Coturnix japonica: one gene and its partners. The protein of the gene in region 1 interacts with the protein of each later gene in a biochemical or structural test. Links are inferred from orthologs where the notes say so. Each region holds a gene or a part of one and is shown on either strand. Other genes may lie near its edges.

Evidence for each region.
Region 2: the proteins of ITCH (region 1) and WBP2 form a complex in vitro, tested with the Homo sapiens proteins (2 studies listed by BioGRID). The link is inferred for Coturnix japonica from reciprocal best matches to the Homo sapiens genes ITCH and WBP2.
Region 3: the proteins of ITCH (region 1) and UBE2G1 form a complex in vitro, tested with the Homo sapiens proteins (2 studies listed by BioGRID). The link is inferred for Coturnix japonica from reciprocal best matches to the Homo sapiens genes ITCH and UBE2G1.
Region 4: the proteins of ITCH (region 1) and NDFIP1 form a complex in vitro, tested with the Homo sapiens proteins (2 studies listed by BioGRID). The link is inferred for Coturnix japonica from reciprocal best matches to the Homo sapiens genes ITCH and NDFIP1.

Annotation. Positions count from the first base shown.
Region 1 is NC_029535.1:1,379,034-1,384,717, reverse strand, and holds the start of ITCH (E3 ubiquitin-protein ligase Itchy homolog), read left to right. Parts: upstream 1-2,392; 5' UTR 2,393-2,508; intron 2,509-5,684. UniProt on the Homo sapiens protein: Acts as an Acts as an E3 ubiquitin-protein ligase which accepts ubiquitin from an E2 ubiquitin-conjugating enzyme in the form of a thioester and then directly transfers the ubiquitin to targeted substrates.
Region 2 is NC_029533.1:4,035,144-4,040,975, reverse strand, and holds the start of WBP2 (WW domain-binding protein 2), read right to left. Parts: upstream 3,899-5,832; 5' UTR 3,823-3,898; coding exon 3,764-3,822; intron 2,928-3,763; coding exon 2,819-2,927; intron 2,285-2,818; coding exon 2,149-2,284; intron 597-2,148; coding exon 504-596; intron 175-503; coding exon 58-174; intron 1-57. UniProt on the Homo sapiens protein: Acts as a transcriptional coactivator of estrogen and progesterone receptors (ESR1 and PGR) upon hormone activation. In presence of estrogen, binds to ESR1-responsive promoters. Synergizes with YAP1 to enhance PGR activity.
Region 3 is NC_029534.1:2,221,677-2,227,630, reverse strand, and holds the start of UBE2G1 (ubiquitin-conjugating enzyme E2 G1), read right to left. Parts: upstream 3,899-5,954; 5' UTR 3,705-3,898; coding exon 3,659-3,704; intron 1-3,658. UniProt on the Homo sapiens protein: Accepts ubiquitin from the E1 complex and catalyzes its covalent attachment to other proteins. In vitro catalyzes 'Lys-48'-, as well as 'Lys-63'-linked polyubiquitination. May be involved in degradation of muscle-specific proteins.
Region 4 is NC_029528.1:1,053,852-1,059,822, reverse strand, and holds the start of NDFIP1 (NEDD4 family-interacting protein 1), read left to right. Parts: upstream 1-2,073; 5' UTR 2,074-2,217; coding exon 2,218-2,256; intron 2,257-5,971. UniProt on the Homo sapiens protein: Activates HECT domain-containing E3 ubiquitin-protein ligases, including NEDD4 and ITCH, and consequently modulates the stability of their targets. As a result, controls many cellular processes.

The DNA of each region.
Region 1 (5,684 bases):
AAGCAGGGCAAAGCTTCCAATCAAAGAACACACGGTAGGTTGTGGTGATTCTGCCCCTCTGCTCTGCTCTTGTGAAACCCCACCTGGAGTACTGCATCCAATTCCAGTAAGCTCCCAACACCAGAAGGACATGGAGCTGTGGGAGCACATCCAGAGAAGGACCATGGAAATGATCAGAGAGCTGGAGTACCTGCTCTAAGAGGACAGGCTGAGAGAGCTAGGGCTCTTCAGCCTGGAGAACAGAAGGTTCCAGGGGGACCTTACAGTGGCCTTCCAGTACCTGAAGGGGCCTACAGGAAAGGTGTGGAGGGCCTTCTTATAAGGGCATGTAGTGATAGGACAAGGGAAAATGGCTCTCAGCTGGAAGAGAGCAAATTTAGACCAGATATCAGGAAGAAATTCTTTACTGTGAGGATTGTGAGACACTGGCACAGGTTGCCCAGTGAGGCTGTGGGTGCCCCCTATCTCAAGGTGTTCAAGGCCAGGCTGGATGGGGCTGTGAGCAACCTGGTCTAGAGGGAGGTGTCCCTGCCTATAGCAGGGGGTTGGAGTGAGGTGACCTTAAGGGTCCTTTCCAACCCAAACTATTCTATGATTCATTCTATGATTCTGTTTCACACATCCCAGCATCAGCATTCCCTATCATTTCCCAAAAAAAATCCCCAGCAGATTTGTTGTTTAATGTTCTTCAGTCCCAGGAAAAAATCACATTCAGCTTTCTGTGTGGGAAGACAGTAACGATCTTCCCAGTATCTTATCCTCCCTTTAAAACATCCTGTTTTGGATGACTGTGTCATTTCCTTTCCCAAGACAGCTAATCACTTCCTCCTGGTTCTCTGATTATGCACTGGAGATCAATTGAATGATAAAATAATTAAGTGTCTTTGTTTTACCCTTTAATTAGATTACTTGGAAGTAATAACAATGTCTTGCCAACCTTGAAGGTTTTGTTCAGTTAGCAGGAATTAATTGATATTTTCCTACTGATATTTTCCTAAATCCCCAACCAAAGAAATCAATACTGATTTTAAAGGTGGTTAGAAGTATGCACGCTCTACCACCACACTATGTCTATGTTCACAAGTGAAAACAACTGATTATAAGGCAGCACGAAAAATAATCTCTTCTTAAAGATGATAATTTCAAAATAAGTTTGATCTTAAATTATAACTCATTCTCTGCAGCAATGATCCAGTTAAAACAAATTCCAGGAGACTTGTTTTTAAGAAGACTTGCTCTATAGATGTTTACAAAGTACTTTGAAATGCAGTCATAAAGAAAATGCTGTGAAAATGAAATATTCGTACACCTCTAAATCAGCAGCTGCACAAAACCTTAAGGCAGGCAGAAGTGTTAAGCCGTTATTAAAGATTTAAAGTAGCTTAGCAGCTAATCGAAATTGATGACATCTGATGACTACTCAACAGTCACTGTATGATATTTGCTTGGGGCTGTGTCTAGCCCAGAACAGGTAATTGTTCACACCATCAGAATTGCTTCCATGGTCACCATGGTCCCTTCAGTACCAGGACTGCCTTTTTGTTGTCGACACAGTGAAGTCCAAAATGAATGTGGATAAAATCTCAAGAAACTCAACAAAGATAAATGGTCCAAGATCTGCCTCTGGAAGGGAGCAGCCCCAATTCAACAGGACACACTGGGGGCAAGTGCTTGGAACACAGTTTGGTGGAGGAGGTGCTGGGGTCGCTTCTGCCACTGAATTAAATTCATCTGCATTTGCTACCTCAGTCTGGTGTTAAGTCATTATTCGGTGTTGGTGTAGCAGCTCATATAAAGGCTGTGATTTGTAACAGGGAAAATTCTGAAAGAGTTTGAATGGGATGATTTCACAACATTCATCTTGTCCTGGAAGCAGAAAATCATCAGTGGTGTGTGCACCCGGAATGCATTCTTTATGGATGTTACAGGTAACACTGGTGGAACTTGACTTGAAGCATCAAAAGCTGGAAAATAGAAAAAGAGATTAGGGTTGTTGATGCTGAAAAAACATTTTTAGCCCCAGTGCAAGTTACAAATGGAGGAAAAATATTGATAACAGAGAATTTACATGGTGTATCTGAAAAGTGATACTGAATGTCATTAATCCACATCTGCCTTAGCAGATGTGATGCAAACAGGGCGCTGGGTGCTGTCCTGCTGGGGAAAGCAGCCAGAGCTGCGTGCTGGCCTGGGCTTCACCTGCAGAGATGCTGCCTTAGTTGTGCTGTGTGAGCTGCCCTGTGTCCGTCGCTGTGTGTGACCCGCCGATCACTTCGGCCGCGCACCCGACAACCCACCCCGCCGGGCGACACCGCGGGGCGCACTGAGCATGCGCGGAGCATGGCGCGGCGCACGCTGGGAGTTGTAGTCACCTCCACCCCGTGGCGGCTCCGGCGACTCCGCGCGTGCGCAGATTGCGCCCGACTTTGGAAAGTCGCTGCCTCGGGTTGGGTCGGAGCGGCTGCCATCTTGGCCGAGGGACGGAGGAGCTGAACGGCGCCGTGCGCGGTGAGGGGAGCGGGCTCTGCAGCACGGGCAGGGCAGGAGGGAGGAGGAGGACGAGGACGAGGAGGAGGACGAGGAGGCGGGGGGTGGCGGCGGGGATGGGAGCTCCAGGGGCAGCGCTGCGGCTCCGCCGATCTCCTCGGCTCTGGGCGGGGGGCGCGGGGACCCCGCGGTTGTAGGCCCGGCCGCCTGAGGGGCTCCGGCCCCACGGAGCTTCACCGAGCGGCCTCGGCGCGCCGCGCTGTCCCCTCCCCGCCGGGCCGAGCCGGGGGCCCGGCCGCAGCCGGCGGTATCGCTCCGTGCCTGCGGCGGCGGTCCCGGGACCTCTGGCCTGTGTGTGGGGCTGCACGGCTCCTGCACGAGCCCACATCCCCCGGCCCCGCTGTTCCCCGGCAGCGCGTGTCGCCGCCCCGCTCGGCCTCCGCCATCCTGCCCGGGCTCCCGGGAGCCGGGACCGGTCACTTGGCCCTTTCGGCGCTCCGGGATCGCTCCCGGCCCAGGCGCTGCTTCTCAGCGGCAGTTCCGCAACACGGCCCCTTCCCTTTGTATTCAGCCCCGTCCTGTCTGTCTCTCGGGGTCTCGGCCGGGGGAGGCTGCTGTGTGGAGTTCTTTGCTTTGTTCCTGTGGGATAACAGCTGTGCCATGAAGCAGCGTTTCCCAGCACGAGTGTGGTTGGAGGTGTGTGTTCCCTCTTGCTGTTGCCGCCGCTTTATTTTGGAAACACGGCCGAGTTCTGGCTGTTAACTCTCCTGCTTCCTCACAGGGGTCTGTGACCTTGTGTGGCAATAACAACCAAGCACGAGTGGAAGGTGCCGTCTGAGGGTGTGAACGCCTTTATTAGATTGGCTCTGAAATCCAGGAGTTCAGCTTGTTGCGATAGGTGTAATCTGTGATGTTAAACTGATAAACAAGCTTAGCATCTATGTATGTGGGGAGAGAAAACCGAGTGTAGCAGTTGGGCCATCTGTTGTCATTTGCGTGGCATTCTTTACCCTTGAAGCTTCGGAAGATGTTCCCAGAGAAGTTAATCTTTATAGCTCAGGTAGGATAGAAAGGATCACAAACAGTTCTCTTTGTGAAACATTCTTTTTCTCAGTGTTCCTCATTGCTCTTTGTTTTAATCTCTGCCCCTTTACCCTCATCCTTTTGGCAGAGGAAGGAGGAGAAATGTGAACTGGGATTCCTGAGAAGACAATTAGTATCGAGAGCCAGTTGGCTGGCAGTTGGTCCAGCTACTGCTTGAATTGACCCGAACAAGTTATGCATAAAGAAGAATGAAACATCGGCTGCAATCTGTCATTAGCTCAGTGGGTTTTATTGCCTTTCAGACATCTTGTTTGAAGAACAAATTTTAATTCTTTCTTCTTCTAGTGAAAGTCCAAAGCAGTTCTAATTTAATTACAGTTATATTACTCTTTGCTACAGCCATTTGAATCCGAACTTGGTCTACTGTGCGTTCTTAGTTGTGGTTTGACTGACAGCTTTAATCACTGCTCTGGATACGTTCACCTCCAAGTGATCATCAGAGCAATATGCGGCATTCTAACCTGGAGTGAGTTTTCTTGTATTAAAACAAAGAACTGATGCCGTATGTGTAAGAGGTGACGTTGCAGTGGAAAATAACTGAGACTTCTGAGTGCTAACTTTGAAAGCTTCTTACAGATTAAACAGTTATTTTGGGTCTTAAGAGAGATCGAGAGATTATTCGTATGAATTTATAAGTTAACAGACATCGCCTCGTTTTCTTCACTCTATTTTTGTTCCTGTTGTAAAGTTAAGGGTGTTTTATGTGTGTGTGTGATGAGCCATTTCCTGAAATACAGAGTTGTTTGGTTTCTTTGGTTGGACGTTTCAAAACAGCTTGTGAGAGTGAACTGCAGAGCTGAGCAGCAGGTGGGAGGGCAGGTATTAGAGCAGCGAGGTGCTTCTCTTGGAGGCTTTGTTTCTCATTGTTTCTAAGAAAACTTGCATTAGGGCTGCTTGAAAACAGTGTTAAGTGAGGCTGAAAAAATGTTTGCATCTGCAGGAGTTAGATAATTTAATGGCATTATCGGTATCAGTCAGTGACAGAGTCTACAGAAACATCTGTAAATGCGAGAGATATATAAACAAAGTAGTAAACATACTCAACCCTGTTAAAATGCTTTCTGTATTGCAGCAAAAGCAATACAGTTTGTCCTAAAAAATAAAGGAAAAGATGTCAGTGGGGTTAAAGCAGGAGGGGAGCGCAATGCTGGAGCTTCTGGGTGCGCTGTCACTGATGCTGCTCGTTGTTAAGCCTTTCTGTTTGGCAGTCCAGTTGTGTTCATTTAATGTTCTAATTTCTGTCATTCTGTGTGTAAGTGGAGGAACTCCTTTGAGCCCTCACAGCTAAGGAGCGTGAATGTGCAGGTATGTCTTGGAGCAGAGCACTTGCCTGGGTCGATTTCAGTAACTGTTCTTTGTTGTGCTGTAGGTGAGCTTTGAAGTGAGGGCTCACCTCAGAAGAGGAAGCAGACAAGCCGGGATTACAGTCTTGCTTGGGAGGATTGTTTGGCTTATTTTACTTTTTACTGCCTCCCAAATTAAGTATTTTTAATGATTTTAGGCCATCAGCTTGTTTGTGTTTTTGTGCTGTGGAATGGCTGTCACCAGAGCTAATTCTATGCCTGCCTTCTGGAGAGGGAATGGTAGTTTCTCTTCATGCCTTTTGTATGAGAAAAATAGCAATAAGGACCTGAGTGTTGTGTAAGTGATTGGCTTCCAGCTTTTACTTCATCGGGCAGAGTTGTGCAGCTGAGGGATTGATCTTTTTCTTCATCAGAATTGCAAATTACACTTTATAGAAATGAAAATAATGCGACAGACAGGGAAAGAGCATTTTAAAGTAACCAAGGCCCTGTTTCTTAGGGCCCCCTTTTAAGTTATGCCTGGAATTTCTGCTTTAACTATAGTGGGACATAGAACAAACTTCCTGATAAACATCAAGGATTTTCCCCCCTCTGAGGAAACACGATCTGAGATGTTGTTACGCTGGTTATTCAAATCTTTTGTCCTTTAAAATGAACCAAACCCAACAGTACAACCCGGCGCTATGTTAGTGTGCTATTCCCTTTTAAAAAACATTTTATGCCAGTCCTCCCATTTAGGAACTGATAACGCCTGCCTTCCGCCCACCTGCCTGAGCTATTCTAAACTGC
Region 2 (5,832 bases), on another chromosome or scaffold:
TAGCTGTTGTAACTCTTGTTAGCTAAAATTATCCTTATCTGCAGTCCCCAGACTTACCAGGAGGAGGCGGTGGGTACGGATAGCCCCCATTGGCCACAGGTGGTGCAAAAGCATAGGATCCATTCGGCATATAGGAGTAGCCATAAGCTCCGCTGGGGACTTCACCTCTGGAGGCTGGAGAAGGAAAGATAAGGTCACTTCAGTAAAACACCAAGCTTGCAGAGAACAGAAGCCAAGACCTACAACAAACTTAAAGAGGCCTTATCTGAAAACCAAAGAAAGCAAAACAGAAAAAATCAAGCAAGGTCCAAAGCTAACAAACCCACAGCTTGCTGGACGTGAAAAAGGTGTTGTTTTAAGGCAAGAAAGTTCCAGATACAGCCTGAAATTCACGTACACTGGAATTGAACCCATCCCAGCTTAAAACTACCCTTGCTGTAAAATTAAGGCAAGGCCTCCTGAAACCACAAAAGCAAAGAGCAGAGAGCATTAAGCTCCCCTACCTTGGGATGCCACCTGTAGCATACGCTGCCCAAACTCTATAGCACCCCCAGCTGTAAAGGTCATCTTGAAGGTGGCAGATCCTTCCCAGCCGCCTGCAGGGAGAGAAAACAGAATTCACAAAGAAAGAGAAGCCATTTTGATGCTATTTAGCTTCTGTGCTTCACCTACAGAGGCCCTATATTTTTTTAAAGAGCTTATCCCAAATATCCAAGAAAAACCTGCAGAGAGAGCAGCAGAATTCCCTTTTGTATCAGAAAATTCCACATTGGACAACATTTTCTGATCAAGAGATACCTGAATAATAGGACCATCAGTAAGGGAGACATTCAAAAGCTTGCTGAAGTTGTGCCTATCACACAGGCTGCCAATAGCTCAAGCTATCAGGAGGGCTGAATTTACTCTAGCTTTGTACTTGATTAGTGCAGAAGACAGGGATTCTGTTAATCCCATTTGCTAGAAGGGTTTTGTAACTACACCTAACTGCCCACTGCAAATTAGTTTGGGAGTCTGAGCGCCCAGTGAAGCAAAGAGCTTAATGAAAAAAACAAGTATCGCATAAATCCATTAGAGTTCATAGAAAATATTTCAAGTCAGGATAATAATAATTAAAAAATAAAAACGAATTAGCCACTTCTCTTATTACAGGCTAAAAAAGAAAACCACGCACAGCCCAGAGTGCCAACAATGCATCAAAGCAGTAGCTGTGTCAGTAATGAAACAGGGATACAGAGATAAAAGAGCCTTTTGAGCTAAGCCAGACTCCTCTGGCTGTTGCAGCAACATCCTCATTAACTAAGCCAGCCTCTGGGGGGGGACTCACAGAGATTTTGTTAAAGCAGTTTGCCTTTCACACAGTTTAGTGTTTGTCCTTAGTGCTCAGCTCTCCTCTCACACTGGATGGTCTTGTTTTGCTGCCATAGAAAAGCTACAAGGCTGATTTCAGGGTAATAGGCTGAAGCCCTCTGAGCAGTGCACTGTGTTGCAGTGCCACAGCTAAGGGAATAAATCAGGCTCTGGATGAAATAAGTGCCTTGGTAAGAAGTAGAAGCATAGGACAGTGATAAAAGTATCTCTTAGGAAAAAAGAAGTCTACCACAACTCCTCATTGAACATATTATAAAGCTGCCCTTGAACATTCCCTAAGCTCAAGGTAATCCATCATCTTCCAAACAATACAGCAGTGCTTTTCCTAAACTGCACAATAAACGGATGTTGGAGATTCACACCTCGAAATCCGTACAGATCCAGAACAGACCGCGAGTGTTTGGCACAGAAGGATCTGGATGCATAAATAAGAGAGAGGCTGAACTGACCAAGGCCAAGCAACGCCCTCAGTGCTGCTGTCACAGCCTGATCCCTGCTCTGATGTTTACTCAGTGAGATCACTCGGCTGCCTGAACTCTGAATTTCATACAGAGGGCAGGAATGAGATCAGTTACACAGCTAATCTGTTCACTGTAACTGCACAGAGCTGACAGGGGGGAATATTTTCAGCCGCTGGTTTCAAAGAGAAAAACACATTTTAGCAATACTGAAAGAACCTATGCATCCAGTATCCACTTCACATTACAATGAATAATTACTTTACTAGGAACTATAGAAGTTCTGCATCTTAGCTCAGCTTTGTATCAGTGCTATACGTACCTCCTGCCTCTGCTTTCACTGTACCCTTGATATAGTTTGCTCCAAAGACAGGCTGCTTAATCTCACAATCTTTCAACAAATAAAAGGCCATCCCAAAAGACTGCAGAGCATCCTTTCCCTTCGATATAAAGATAACCTGAAAAAGAAACAACATTACAAAGGGTGTTTAAAATGAACAGGAAACACTGCCCCGGTTTATTATCTGTGGACATTGCTGGTGGACTGAATCTGCCTCCCACACTCAAAGATCCTTGTAATTTCTGCAAGCCCCAGGGTTCTCAGAACTGTCACAAGGGTAAAATGATGCCTCAAGGCCATAAAGCCTTCCAGAAGGATTACACACTTGCTCAGATAACACTCCTCCCAGTTCCTAGAGAACTCACAGCTGTGATTTAGTAGCTGAACTGCTCCATTCCGCATTTCCAAACCATCGCTCATTTCCAATCTTGAAGATGCCTGGTGGACTAAAACAGCTGCCCAGGTAAGAACTAATGTCATGGTTGACAACTAATCAGATTGATTATCTTTTGCCAAATAGGCAGGACATGCAATGAAGCCACAGTGCTCCCCACAAGGGGAGGACGGGTACATTATCCAGACCTTCATGCACGTGTAGAAGTGCAGAGCCATGAAGAACTCTGATCTCTTTCTAATGCCTTTTACTACTTACTCGGTAGGGAGTCAAGAAAACACTCCCTTTCTTGGTCCCTTTGAACGCCTCAGGCATCGGTTCAGCATCACTGAAGGTCATTTCTACATGATCATAGGTCATCAGAACGCTGCAAACAAGATGAGAAGAGGCACAGTGTTAGAGCTTGGGGCAGATTCCAGCACGTAGAGTTCACTGACTTACCAGAACTGCCTTAACCTCAGCCCAGCACCCAGCACACATGCTCACTCTGCCTTGCACTTCTGCTTGCTCTCAGCCTCGTGTTCCTTCTTCAGTGAGCTGATACAGCTGTTTGCACAGCCGGCTGGTGAATCCAGTCAATTAAACTCAAGTTCTCAATGTATTTCTTGCATTATGTTGAATTTCTGCCCGATCATTTCCCTAAATTGCTTCACCACAAGCAACACAACACAGGTAGGGCTGCTTAGCAGGAACCCCTCAGCCTGGGTTATGCAATGAGGCGACCAGAGGTCACAAGAATCCATCTCAGTCACTATAACGTGATTGGGATCATTCCTCTTCTCACTCCTATAACCCCACACTGACTCCTTAAGCCTCAATCAGAAACCAGCCTGATTAAGACCAATAAAACACATCCATATGGATGCAGGTAGTATTGTCTTAATATGACAACATCCACGTCAGGTAAACCAGGCCCTAATGGTGTGCACAGCACATTTAGACCTATTACCATCCCCAGTCGTACAGAAGGGCACCTGGGCCACGAACCAGGGCCTATATGACGGCAATGAGCCACATAGGGTTAAACAAGGGTTAATGAGCCACATAGGGCACACCAAGGGTTAACCCCAACATGGCGGGGGGGGGGGGGGGGGGCGGGTGTTAGAGCCCCTCAGCCCCATATGACCCGCAGGAAAAGGCCATTTTGGACGGAAAGGGGCTCGGAGAAGGAGAGAGAAGAGGGCTGGGCCCCTGACCGCTCACCTCTCGCTGTTGTTAACGATGACGCCGCCGCCCTCCGAGTGGTTCCTGTTCAGCGCCATGTTCAGCGCCGCCTCCGCCTCACAGAGCCGAGCTCGCACTGCGCCTGCGCGAAGAAGAGCCCGCTGGGCGCGCGGTGCGCTCTGGGATTTGTAGTCTCGAGGGGGTGGTGTTCCCCGGGCATGCTGGGAGTTGTAGTCCTCTCGCTCGGCAGCCATGTTGGTTTTTTGGGGTGGTGTAGGTCGCTCCTTAAGGGTTATTTTCTGCCCCAAATCTCACCGCTTCACTCAGCCTCGTCTGCCGTCCCCGAGGAGCAGTGCCACCAATTAACGCTGCTATTAATTCCCCGAGCTCCAGCCAGCTGCTGAGATCATATTGACTTTGCTATACACAACCCAAAGAGCCGGGCTCCTTTTTGGGATAACCCATTTCCCATCCCATCAATCACCCCATTCTGCTCCCTCTGACCATATATAATAAAATGAGCTCAGTTCTTTGCAGCCTGCGTGACTTGGCAGCTCTTCTGCCAGCTTCCTATTTTAGATAGTACCACAGAGCTCACACAAACAAAGCACGGTTTGCCCAGTGCCCTGACTGCATTCCAATTCCCTTTTATTTTCCCCTTCCAGGACTTTATCTTTGGCTGCACTTTGCACGTTTTCATTGCTCACAATGAAAACGCCATTAATCTGGTTATACTGTGCACTAAATGAGGCTCAACCCCTTTAAAAGCAAAGGTTCCCCCCCACTTTCCAGGCTGTTTCAGTGCCCATTTTGTGTCCCAGACACCTGGGTTCCTACAATTAACCCACTGAGGGTTAAACTGGAGGGGCCAAAAAGTCACCCCATAGACAAAGAAAGCTGCTCTGTGGGCGAGAGGAAATCCGGGGACAGGAAAATACCTGCACTATTGGCACAGCTACAGTTTGGGTATAACCCACTGCCTCCAACTGGAGCTGACTCCTAAAACAATCATAACACCTGCATAACTGCATTAAAACCGCTGCAGAATGACATGTTTTGAAGGACTCCTCGTATCAACCCTCAGCATAATGTGTGAATATGTTTTAAGAGGTGATATGAGGCTAAATTACACCTTTTTTTTTGTATGGATTTGAGCTTTCCCTGCAGGGTTTGCAGCCCAGCCCCTCCTCCAGTGCCTGCAAATCCCCAGGGGCAGCGAGGAAACTGAAAGCTCCATAATGGAAACCAGACTGAAATCAACTCAGAGACATAAAGCGTACAGTTCTTGGCAAGAAAAGCACAGCTTTGTGCCTTTTGTATCCGCTTTTTCAATAAGCTGCAAGTTTCCCTTTTAAGAAATGCTCATAACCAACAGCCCCAATTCCTCTCCTATTAAAGTCAGTAGCACACATACACAGCTTCCCCCAATGCTCCCTGAGCTAACAGTGCCCCCAGTAATGCTCTTCTCATAGCTCTGGCTGACGTTTGGTATTAAGAAACTCAGCCTTCATGTCAGGAAGTGCTGGCGTGCATGGGAAGCTCCAGAACTTCATGTATACAGATTAAATCATCGAGGGAAAAAAACATCTCATCTCTTCAACTTTGTTATTTCCAAGCCAAGGACAGAAGTCGAAGGGAGACAGAAAGAACTGAAACAATTCATTGCTTGGAACCTCCCCAGCGCTGTCAATATTGTTGTTGGATTCCAGGATTCTTCCGTTTCTTTTGTAATCGAGCAATAGGGAAATAAATGGGTGATTGGCACAAACCCTGCAGACACACTTGGAAAAGAAAACTTCTGTTATTCCCTGCCGGATGCACAGGACACAGAAAGAAAACAAGCAGAGAATAGATAACAGGACAACTGCAGTGGTAATGTTTAATGGTGGATCAGAGCCTCTATCGCCATCATTTTATTCTGTTATGGTGTCTCCACACACTGTAAGAGGTTCGATAGTAACTGCGTATTTTAAACGTCTAATTAAAGAGAGGAACACTGTGTGACAGCAAAAAACACAACTCAAAGGAGCAGGGAAAGGCTGTTTAAATTGCAAAGTGCTGCTTATCTGAACTCACCACACGTGGTGCTCACAGCAAACAAACATCAG
Region 3 (5,954 bases), on another chromosome or scaffold:
ATAATTTACATACACTTTAACTTGAAATAATGCTGCATTTCTCATGTTTGAGAACATGGTTAGTGTGGTTTCTTGGTATCCTAGGTTGGATAATACTTACAACACAGCAGAGCTCGGTTATTCCTATTTCCAGTGAACCATGTTTGTGTCAGAGATGAGTCGCACTTCTGGTTCCACAATACGCTGTGATTTAACTACATCCTCCCTGTGTGCTTTTGCCGGGTGAACTAGACAAGTCTGCCCACTCTAACAAGTCCACGTCAAGGAGGATTCGGCAGGAAGATTAAATAAAAGCATTTAGAGAAGTACCTCAGCCTTCAAAACCCTCAGGCTTGACAGCTCTGGAGAGCAGAAGAGCTTTACATTCTGTTGTACCAATCAGCTGTTAAAGAACACAAAGTTCTCAGGCTGTAGGAAGAACACATTTTACCCACACAGCTCCTACACCGACCTCCTGGTGCCATAGTTCTGCTGACCCAGTGCTACACATTCAATGCTGCTGGGTTTATTCCACCCATTGGAAGTTCAGAGGGATTTCATTTACCTTTTTTTTCCCCCCCCATCTCTTACCCATAAGAATAACTGGGCAGAGGCAACACAATGTCTCACTATTACCCAAACATGTTTTTCAAAGAAAAGAAAAGGCAAAAAGCCTCACACCACAAACAACAATAAAACACAACCAACCATACACCTGTATGAACAAATACCTCTTCTGCATTTTAAGATAACTCCAGAAGCTGCTGAAGCTTACAGTCAGGTTGATCTGAAAAGCAACTATTTGGCTTCACTGATAACTATCTATGCAGGAGGGCCTCCCTCCAGCTCTAAGCCTCCGCTCAGCTCCAGCACTGCCCTCAATGGCTGGAGATCCCCACTCAGTATTTCCTTTAAAACACTGAAGGAAAACAACCAGCCAATCTAACCCACATTCTGACTACACTGATTTGAACTGCTCTCGTGCCTCGCTGGGGGCAAGCACATGTAGGTATAAGCCAGTTATATCAACCCTGTGGCGATATGGATCATTATTCCATCTGCAGACGTTGACCCTACTTAGCATTAAAAAAAGCCAACAACAAAAACACACACCCTATGTTCCTCAACTCTTCTGCAACCATAAGGGCCTCAGGTCCAGTTATCCTCCCTCCACACCAAATAACAGCCCTGACTTCAGATCTCTCACAGTTTGAACAACACTGATAAAGGAGTGACCTCGACCAGTTTAAATGAGTTCAGATGACGTAACTCATCTCCACTTTGCTGCCCTCCAAAACCCAACCATTAAGTACAACCCAATCACTCACCACACTCAATACACAACCCAAAGCTGCATGCAGCATTAGGACTGAAATATCAGTCCCATTCAGTAAGAAAAAAACCCTCAGCATTGGTTTTAGTTTTGAGGCAGGTAAAACAGCGTGGGTACAATGAGGGATACACTGGAGCAGATGAGAGCTGGGAGAAAACAGCAGCGGGGGGGAAGGTGAGACCTCACAAGGCTCAGTCTCTGCACTGCACCTTCAAGCAGCCTGCCATTAGAAAAAGCAGTTCAGGGCCTTGCTTCAGCTCCATTCAGATACAGCAGAGATTATCAAATATGGAAGAAACAACATATTTCCCTTTCCAGGTCAGTAACTACTCCAGGCTGAGCTCCTGAAGAATTTCAGACTCCCCACACACTTCAGTGCATACACTCAACCACTTTCTATGCACAGAAGCACAAAAATTACATAAAAGTATATGCACATTTCTGTATAATTTATGTATATATTATTTATATATTTTAATATCTCTAAGTAGATGTAGGAAAAAAAAAGTACTGATGGTACTTAAAACCCAAAGGCCTCACAAAGGGGCTGCACGTTACATGCAAATGGCCGCAGTGCCCAGTTGACTCAGTATCAGTAATAAGGCAACTGGAAGGGTTCACTGCTTTTACACGGCACGTGAAGCTCTCAGAAGAGAGAGAGCAGAAAGACTGAGGGCTTCAGTCAGTCTAAGAGCCTGCAAGTCCAGCAGCACATCCAACCAACCTTCATTCAGAGGGCAGGTCATAAAGAACTACACAACACAGGCGGTCTGAAAGTTTCTTGATGGTCCCTTTGACACTCAGCTCAAGTTGGGAACTTCCTTTCACGGTGTACAATTATTTAATTAACACACAAATTCCAGACCGTCTCAGGTCACCAAACGCTTGTTTGTATGAAGCTAAAGAGCAGCCTCAACACCATCTCCTCCCAGTGTGATCACTTACAGAAGAGAGAACTGTTGCAGAAGCAAGAATTTTTGGAGCTCCTGGTTTAAGCCTATATATATTGATAACTGCTTATGTGAACAAGTAGATGCCCCAGCAGATGTTCAGGAATGCCGTAACGCCTGCTGGGCCCACTGACACGATCACACCGCGTGGAGGAAATCTTTTTATTTACAAAAATCACCTTCAATAAGTTTTAGCCCACCGTGCCCCGCTGCTTGGCCGGGCCTCAGCTCCACCTCGCTCCCATCACTCAGCGCCATGCAGCTCCCGCACTCTGTTATGCAACTCCGCAGTGAGCAGAGCCCTAAAGCCACCGGGGGCCGCATCCCTCCCGCAGGGACCCCCCGCACGGCTGTGACCCGTCCCTCCGAAGCGCTACAGAGCTCTATTTGCCCGGCTTTAGGTACACCTAGCGAGCATTTCCTTATCTGGCTATGGAGCAACTCATTTTTACGTAAGGCGCACAGCAGCCAGCGGAGCTGCCCGAGGTGCCGGCGTTGCTCAGGGGCGGTTCGGAGCACACACGTGCGATGGGGGAGGGAGCGTTCAACCCCCTCCCTGCTCCGCCGGCTCCGTGTCTCTTTAAATCTGGCAGCGAGCGACACATGGAGCTGCATTGTGCGCCCCGACAACCAGCGCATGCGCGGCGCCGCCGGGCCGAGCCAGGACCCCACCGCGGCCGCAGCCCGGGCACACGGAGCAGCGCGGGGCCGCCCGGGACACAAAGGGAGGGGGAGCCGCCGCTATGGGCTGCCGGCCCGCAGCACCACGGGCCGCTCCTCGCCCCACTGCGCTCACAACAAAGGGGGCAGCGGCCCTTCCTTCCTCACGGGCACGGAGCGGGGGGCGGGACGGGGGCAGCTCAGGTCCCCGCGGCGAGCTCAGCCCTGAGGCGCCGCTTCTGGACGCGAGGAGGGGGAGGATAATAAAAATCGAAGGGAAAAATATATATGTGTTATATATTATATATAGAGCCGCCATACAACTCCCACCTCCGCTTCTGACAACACCGCGCGGCCCTCCCCGCAATGCACCCCCACGGCGAGGCCCAGCGAGGGGACAAGAGGCCGCGGAGGCCCGAGCGGAGCCGCTGCCGGGACGGGAACGGCGGTGGAAGCGCAGCCCCCACAGCCCGCTCCGTACCGAGCCGGCCCCGCTCCCCTCCCCTACTCCCCTCCCCTCCCCCCGGCCGCGCTGCCACGCTCCCCCTCCCCCCCCGGCCTAGTTCCCTCAGCCCCGGGCCGGGCACTGAGCTCAGGGGGGGTTGGTGCTGGTTAGGCCGCCGCCTCCCCTTCCCCCTCACAGCCGCCCCGCTCCCCGCCGTCCCCCTCCTCCCCCTCACGACCCGTCCTGCCCTCAGACTCCGTTCTCCCGTCTCCTCTCTCCATCCGCCGGTACCTGCTAGCTGTCTCCGCAGTAACAAGGCGGACTGGAGCTCCGTCATTCTCTCCCTTTCTATCCTCGGAATGAGTCCCGAGGACGGCGCGGCTCCCGGTGCTCCCAGAGCCCGAGGCGGCTGCGAGTGGCCCCCTCAGCCCGCCCGCACCGCCGCCACAGCACGCAGGGTCCCTGCCAGGGGCGCGCGGCCGTGGCTCCGTGCCGCCCTGCTCCTCCTCCTCCTCCTGCACTCCGCTCTGCGCAGACGCACTTCGAGCAGCTACAGGCCCTTCCGCGCCGCCATCTTAGGAGTGGCGGCTGAGCTGTGTGTGTGTGGAGGCGGGGCGAGGAGAAGCCAGGCCGCCATCCGTTTCGCTGAGGGCAGCGGGTCTCCTGAGGGCAGCAGCCTTCAGTTCACTCACGGCTTTTCCTCAGTGATGGATGTGTTTAAGCGTTCTTTGCCAACCTTAGTTGATTCTAAGGCTGCTGTGACATAAAGAGCCGTAACGTAACAAAAAACAGCGTTTTGTCCTCGTTCGAAGCCATCTCCCACGCCCAGAGGGAGCCGTGGTTATTATTTGGCTGGGGGAAGCAGTGCTGGCTGATGGAGAGTTGCTCGCTGTGCGGGATTGCTGCGCTGTGGGGCTCTGAGGGGCTCTGTGGGGTCTGTGGGTGGCTCTGTGGGGTTCTGTGGGGTCTATGGGGTCTGTGGGGTCTATGGGGTCTGTGGGGTCTATGGGGTCTGTGGGGTCTGTGGGGTCTATGGGGTCTGTGGGGCTGTGGGTGGCTCTATGGGGTTCTATGGGGCTCTATGGGGTCTATGGGGCTCTATGGGGTCTATGGGGCTCTATGGGGTCTATGGGGCTCTATGGGGCTCTATGGGGTCTATGGGGTCTATGGGGCTCTGTGGGGCTCTATGGGGTCTGTGGGGTTCTGTGGGGCTGTGGGTGGCTCTGTGGGCTCTGTGGGGCTCTGTGGGGGCAGCACGGGCTGCTATAAGGTGGCAACGGTGTCTGAACGCCACCTCAGTGAGTGCCCGCCTGGTACCATGAGGTGAACGCGGTACCCCCCGCTGGAGTCTCTAATTTTACCGATTTTACGACTAAATTGTTAAAGAAATGCAGTTTCTGGCCGATTGGTGAGCAGTTATCATCATCGGAAACTGGGAAACTCCCCGCTCTGTTGTAAGGAGCTGCTAAAAAGGATTTATCCTGCTCGAAAGTAACACTCTTCATTGTTTTCGACCACGAGGAATTCCTATGTGAACATCAAACTTGGCTTTGCAACAAGAGTGAGAAACCCAGGATAGACGAGATGCTTTACTGGCAATGCTGGAATCTTCTCCCCTTGTTGTAATTCCGGTTATAGTTCGAGCGTTTCATTACTGCACTCCAACAATTAATCACAAAGCCATTCTCAGGCATTCCGGCAATTCTGATTAAATCCGTGTCCTCTTCAATGATTAAACTAGGATGAAAAAAGACATCCCGCAGCATTACTGAAATTCATCTTATAAATGGTGTTTGTAGCCAAAGGAGGTCTTTGTGGAAGTCCTTCCTGCTGTAGGTTAACTCCAATTCCCAAATGTATTTATTTGTTTATATTTTGTTATTGCTTCAGTCAGGCTCGCTCAATCTTATAAAAGCAACCTACCCATTTAAACATAGAAAGCTATCATGTGCAAGTTCATTTTGTAAACTTGATATGCTAAGAGACAGTCACCCAGATTGGAATTCAGGCGTGTTGATGGGAAGTGACATTATTCAGGGTGGTATTTCTGTTGCAGGAATACAAGGTAGGCTCTGTTCTCAATGCCAGTTAAGCCAGCACTAAATTCACTCAACTTTCTGTACCTGAGTCAATTCAGGCATGAGCACACGTTTCTGACAGTGCTATTAATAGAGGACCTAACTACAGCACTGCAGACTGAAAGGTTACATAAAAGAACTCTATTTCTATTACAACGTAATCAAAATAATCCTGAATTTCACCATGAGGTCACTCATTGGCAGTCACCTTCCTTAAGAGGGAAAGTCTCCCATGGCTTATGTATGATTTCCTTGTGAGGAACATAAAAGACTGTGGGCTGGAAGAGGAAGGATATGGTTTAAGCAAGCATAGATGACCTGGATTCCTTTATTCTACCAGCATCTTGCTTTGCTTGACTATCTTTTATTTGACTTTCTCTCTCAGTCCCTCGCTCACAAGTCACAGATTACACTGGGCAGAGCTGCTGTTCATGGGAGGATCTTCAGTCTGGATTCACACTGTTAGCAACATCTGCTCCTCTTCTTCAGCTCCTTGGCACAAGCAGGAA
Region 4 (5,971 bases), on another chromosome or scaffold:
ACAGACTGAGCTATTACAGCGGAGAGCTTCAGAGGCTTCATTTGATCCATTAACTCATGCAAACATTTGTCTTCAGGTTTTCCTTAGGCGAATCATTTACTGCTATGAAGACAGCAAGTAAGAACTAAGTTTTAATGTCTTGATTATTCCTTGTTTAAACAAGTCTAGCTTTAACAAACCCCCTCCTCCCCCCCCAGCTTTATAGTTTAGAGTTCAATACTGTTACAAAGCATAGATTAAAAGTGCCCTCTGTTGTTCAGTCATACATTGTAATCAAAGTAACACTTGTGGAGCTTAAGGGTTTCAGGGGACTCTCCATACTGAAGCCCTCTAACATTTTCAATTGCTTTCAAACACTTCCACAGCATATCCCATATCCTACGCGGAGGTCACTGACAAGCAATGACTTCAAGCTTCAGAGCATCTCCTGGGAGAAAAGACATTTTGTATTGGAAGAAGGTTTAGAAAACACAGAGGTATGAAGTGATTTGCCTAAAACCATGCAGGAAATGAAAGCAGAACCAGTCATGTGCTGTAACCACAGAATCATCTGAGCTGCTGTCCCTCATACAATAAGACAAATACCCCGAGAGCAGCTGGAAGAAATTGCTGTCAGCTCCCCGTGTCAGCCGTGCTCAGGCTAGTTAGCCTAATTAGGTGCTGATATGCTTCCAGCTAATGACTGGCACAAACTGTTTCACCATCTCTTTGGGATACTGTCCAGCATCTTTGCTGAGGTTATGCACAGGTTGTGTCTGGTTTTAGTCTTTCAGATGTCCAAGTCAATCAGCATAAAGCTAATTACCACTGTGGCTGTAGCTATACTTAGGGATATAATCCTACCTCAACAGCAAATCCGCGTACATCATCAGGGCAGCTTCTTACTGCAAAGAAGATTCTCAGTGCAAACTGTGGATCTTGTAGAAAGGGGGAATGAACACTGTGACAGCGCCTTCAGCTCTCACTCCAACTCCTTCAGAGCTATTTTTCTTACAATAAACTTGCATTCTCCTTGTGCCTACAGCATTTCTCGGGAGCCTCTTTTGGAGGTTCTTCTTGGCTAAAGTCCTTTGCAATTCCTGCCTGTCCCTTAGCAGGATACCTGCAATGTTTACCCAACTCTTTAGGGCTTGGGTGAACTATGCAGTCCTATGAGGAACACAGAGCAGATCCCAGGCTAGGCATGGTACTGAACGGAGAGCTGTAATCACACAGTTATGACAGAGTTTGTATTGAATTCTTTCTCTGAATTGACAGCTCAGAATCCCATTAGGGCTGATTCAGCCCTCCTCATCCTAAAGCAGATATAGTTAAGTCTTATCAACCTTAGGGACTGATGTGGATGGTTTTGCACAAGCCCAGCTGTAGATGAACTGCACAAGCACAAAACAAGGGTTAGACAAGCTGGAAAACCCCTCAACCTGTATAACACCAAATGCAAAATAACTCAGAATAAACAAGTGTATAACCCAGTGTGATTTCTGATGAGTGCTTGCTCCGGAAGGCTTTGGGTCTGCAGCACCATCTGCTTGATGTGGATATTCAGGATTTCACAGCACCTCCTGAGCAGTTGGCCAGCATTTCAGGGTTGCTTTGGCTGCAATGCTTTGTGTGTGTGCTGGGAGCAGGTAACATCAGGTCTGGAACTGATGTTAACAGACAGGGTGGTACAGCCCTGGAACAGGGCATGGTGATGGCATCGGGGCTGCTGAGCTCAGGAAGTTTGGACAGTGCTCTCAGACACGGGGTTCGGTTTCGGGTGTCCCTGTGTGGACCCAGGGGGTGATCTCAGCGATCCTTGTGGGTCTCTTCCAACTCTCAGCTCTGTGATTCTGTGACCAGCTCCAGGGCAGTGGCAGTCCGCACATCCCGGTCCCACCCTGCTATGAAGGCGGCACCCACTTCCATCCAGCACGGGGTACCATGAGTTTTCGGATTGCTAGTGTTAAATCCCCCCTGCACAGCACCCCCGGCACCCCCAGGCCCAGCAGCCCGCCCCGGTGCTCTCGGGCCCGAGGCCTCCGGCTGCCGGCGGGGCGGGGCGGGGCGGGGCGGGGGGAGGGCGCGACCGAGCGTGACGGGCAGAGGGAGGGCGGGAGCGGAGCCGCAAGCGAAGAGGCCTCGGCTGCGCGGCCTCCGCCTCAGCAGCTTCCGTCGGGAGGCGGCCGGGCAGCGCCGAGCCCCCGCCGCCCGCTCAGCCCTCTCCCTCACAGCGCCATGGCGGCCGCCGAGCCCAGCAGCGGCCGCTACCAGCAGGTGAGGGGCGGAGGGGGCTCCGTAGGCCGCGCGGGAGCGGGGGGGGGTCCGTTCGGAGGCCGCGGGGCCTCGGCACCCATCCGGGCTGTGGAGGCCGCGGGACGCTGCGGGACGGGGGTCGGCGGGGCGAGGCGCGGGCACGGCCGGGCTGCAGGCGGAGGAGCCCCGCCCCTCCCCGGGGCCGCGCGGTGGCACAGCGGTGACCTTGCCGGGATGCCGCCCTTCCTTCTGCCGTGCTGCGGGTGGCCGGCTCCGCGCCGATTGTTCCCAGCAGCGAACTCGTGCTGTGTCGTGTTGAAACGAGCCTTAATTTAGTTTCGTGCGTTCAGCGCGGTGCTCTCTGGCTCGGGTTGAAATCCCCCTAGGCCGGGTTGTGTGCCTGCAGAGCTCCCAGGTGCGCGTTCTTCCTTCCCGGCCTCCCGAAGGACAGGAACCCAGCCCAGCCCCCGAGCAGCAGCGGGCGGTGTGAGCCCGGCCCTGTGCTCTCTCCCTCACTGCTAACGGTGAGGGAGAGAAATTCCCCATAAGCGTGGGCTGCTGTTGGTGCTCCCCGGGGGTACCGCTGTGCTGCGGCTTTGTTGTGGTGGCAGTTTGGTGGCTGTGTGCTCTACTCACAATGCCAGGTGCAGCTTCTCTTAGGACAAAGTGTTGGTCTCATCCTTGTCGCTGGATGTCACTGGTTTTGACACGCCAGGTTTGTAAAAGTTGAGTAAATCTTGCAGTTTTTTCCCTGTGAAACACAAATGTTTTCACTCATGAAGACCAATCTATTTCTTTGTTGTTCTTCTCAGCCACGCTGGCTACAAATAAGCAGGTTTCTTTGCTAATTGACTGCCTGTCAGCCCTGAGAATCCTCCTCATAAATGTTCTTTACAAAGGGATCTGGTTTTGTGTCCTGCCGTCTTGAGCACATGAAGATATGTGACAGCAATCACTGAAGGCTGCTCCCACCTTGTTCTTGGTGGCACTCCAGGCCCGACTGATAAGAACAACACTGATTCCCTTAGAGAGAAATATGGGAAGCTGTCATTTCACCAGGTCTCACTCGCACGTGGGGCAGACACATAACAGACACTGTTAGTGCTGCAGAGCGCAGCACTGCGTGGTACAGCAGAGATTAGAGAGGCAGTCTGTGCCCCAGAGGATTCGTTCTGCTAAAGATGAGGTCCTGGGGAAAGACGGCTGTAATTGAGTGCAGGATGAGAAACATACAGATGGAATTACTTTGGGCTGCTTAAAAGTTGCTTTCCCCCCCCTTGCCCTCTGTCAGAACTCTGGTATCTGTGTTGTTGTAAAGCACGTTATTGGTTTCTCATGCTTGCACTGCTCTGGAAAATCCCTGCGAGCTGTGAAACTGGAGATACAGAGCTCGTGTTTAGATGGAGGCGAGATGGGAGGGTGGGAGAACCTCTCCAACATGAACATGTCAAGGTTTTTAGATACTGCTGTCCATCTAACAAATGCAATTTCTGCCAGTGGAGTGTCTAAAGAATTGGTAGCCTATCTCTATTGGTAGCTCCTATCCGTAAGGGCTGGAGTTGGATGCAGGATCTGTAAGTGTAGGCATTATTTGGAAATTACCAATACTCCCATTTAATCTTTGAAGTTATTGGAGTATGAAGCAGTGAAATAGAACTGAACATTCTAAATCTCGAGAACATTTTTTTTTTTTTGGGGGGGTGATGTGTCATTGGGGGCTGCCCCATAACTGGGCAGCTGCTCTGCTCCTGAATGTGCTGCCCTGTCTGCGTGGCACTTTGACATCCATCCCCATGGGGGTTTTATGCACGGAGCTGTGTGTGTGGGAACAGTGTGAGGGGTGGGATCCCCTGTGTGTGTGCTGTCAAACAGAAGAAGGGGTACTGAGCACAGAGGACAACAGAAATAAATAAGCAGCTGAGTTCAAAACCCGCGTGTTTCTTCCTTGCGGGCCCATGTGGGCGCATGGGCTGTGCATCCCCCAGCAGCCTGTTCCACCACCTGTGTCTGTTTCTCTGTGTGTGCTATGTTAAAGGGGTGCTTATGGCACGTGATTTGTTTTCTATAATCTTCAGCCCTCGTGCTTTATTCAGGCATTAGGTAATCTAACAGAAAATAGCTTGCGATGATGCTTCTGAACGCTATGGCGGTTTGGCTGAACGCACTGAGGAATCACAAATGGAGCTAAGGCAAAACCCATGGAGGGATGTGTGCCCTGCTGTGCTGGGGGTGGTGGGGCGGCTGGTTCTGTCCCTCGGTGCAGGCTGTGAGAGGCAGGATGTGGTGCTGGGGAGCAGGGCAGGCTGCAGCATGCAGCAGTCCGTGTCCCAGAAGGACTGGGGATGATGCCATTGCTGCTTGGACTTGCTTTTGGGAAGGCTATGCAGGATGTTGCTGGGTTTAGGTGGCCTAAATCCTTTGGAGCGCATCCCCTGGGCTGGGAGCTCAGTGTCAGAGCTGTATCTTGTGCTTAGAGCTGAAAGTAGCCTCTGTTCTGGAAAAAATACTTAGGCTTTTAATAGGTTTATTTACATTCTGTGTTAACTGCTTTTTACTGGAAGCATTTGAAGATATATGTGATGTATATGAGTAATGTAAACCCACCTAGAAAATGGTGGGTGTGTTAAATAATACAAACAGATTCCTTTTTAAGTGGTATTTCTTCCAGTTCCACTTGTTGAAGGCTGACATGGATCATGAATCATTCCGTTATGGGAGGCGTCTATGGGAAATGTAAAGAAGAAAGATTTCTCCGTTTGTTTGGTTTCCTTTTGGTGGAACTGCAGAAGAAATGTGCTGCCTGAGATAGGAGAGTGAGGACATTTGGAACCCACAGAGCACTGCAGTGCTTGTGTTCTGCCTGGAAAGGCTGAGATGAGATAGGAAAGGAGACATCAGTTACCAGCTTGTGCTCGCATTAAGCTCGTCTTTAATTTTTCAGTTGCAGTGGGTGTGCAGAATATCCCATATCTTGTAACGTTAGCAGATAGAATTAGTGATGTCGGTGGCTTTTCATTTCTTTGGTGAGCCGTTTGGTGCTTGCAGAAGATGTGCTGCCTGAAGATACCTGCAATTGGTAAGAATGGTAGGGAGATAAAGAAAGGGCAGGTTGTTTTCTTTTCTCTTTTGTGCACCCAGATGAGAACGGTGGTGTCCTTTGACATAAGAACAGTAGGGGCTTACAGAACTAAGTCACAGAGTTTTCCCACCCCACTGGTCGTGTTGCTCTGCACCTGGTGAGAGCTGGGATTTGGGGTGAAGCTGTGCTGCCTCTGTGCAACATGGCACTGATTCCATCTGGCTCTTGGTAGATAGATACTGATTTGTTCTGAAACAGCAGCTTCTGCAGGCAGCTGTACTTCTCAGGTGGGTTTGGAAGGTTTTGGTGATTCTGTGTAACAATGTAGTTATAGAATTAAAATAAATTCATTCTGTAAAGGTTAAAGGACTTGGAACAGACAGTGCTACAGCTGCAGTCCAGCATCATTGCAAAGCTTGTGTGACAGTAGAACACAGCCTTGCAGGCAAATGTCTGTTTTGACTATTATCTCAGGTATCAGGATTGTGCTGGGCTTAGTTGGGCTGAATTCTATCTGTGATGCATTAATGTCCAGAAGAATGGTAATACGGTCCTAAATACTGCAGCAAGGCTTTGTGCTTTGTTAGGTGAAAGGTAATTCCAGCTGCCTAATATGGAAACCAGCTTCTTGTGTACTGAGCCACCGAACATGCAGGC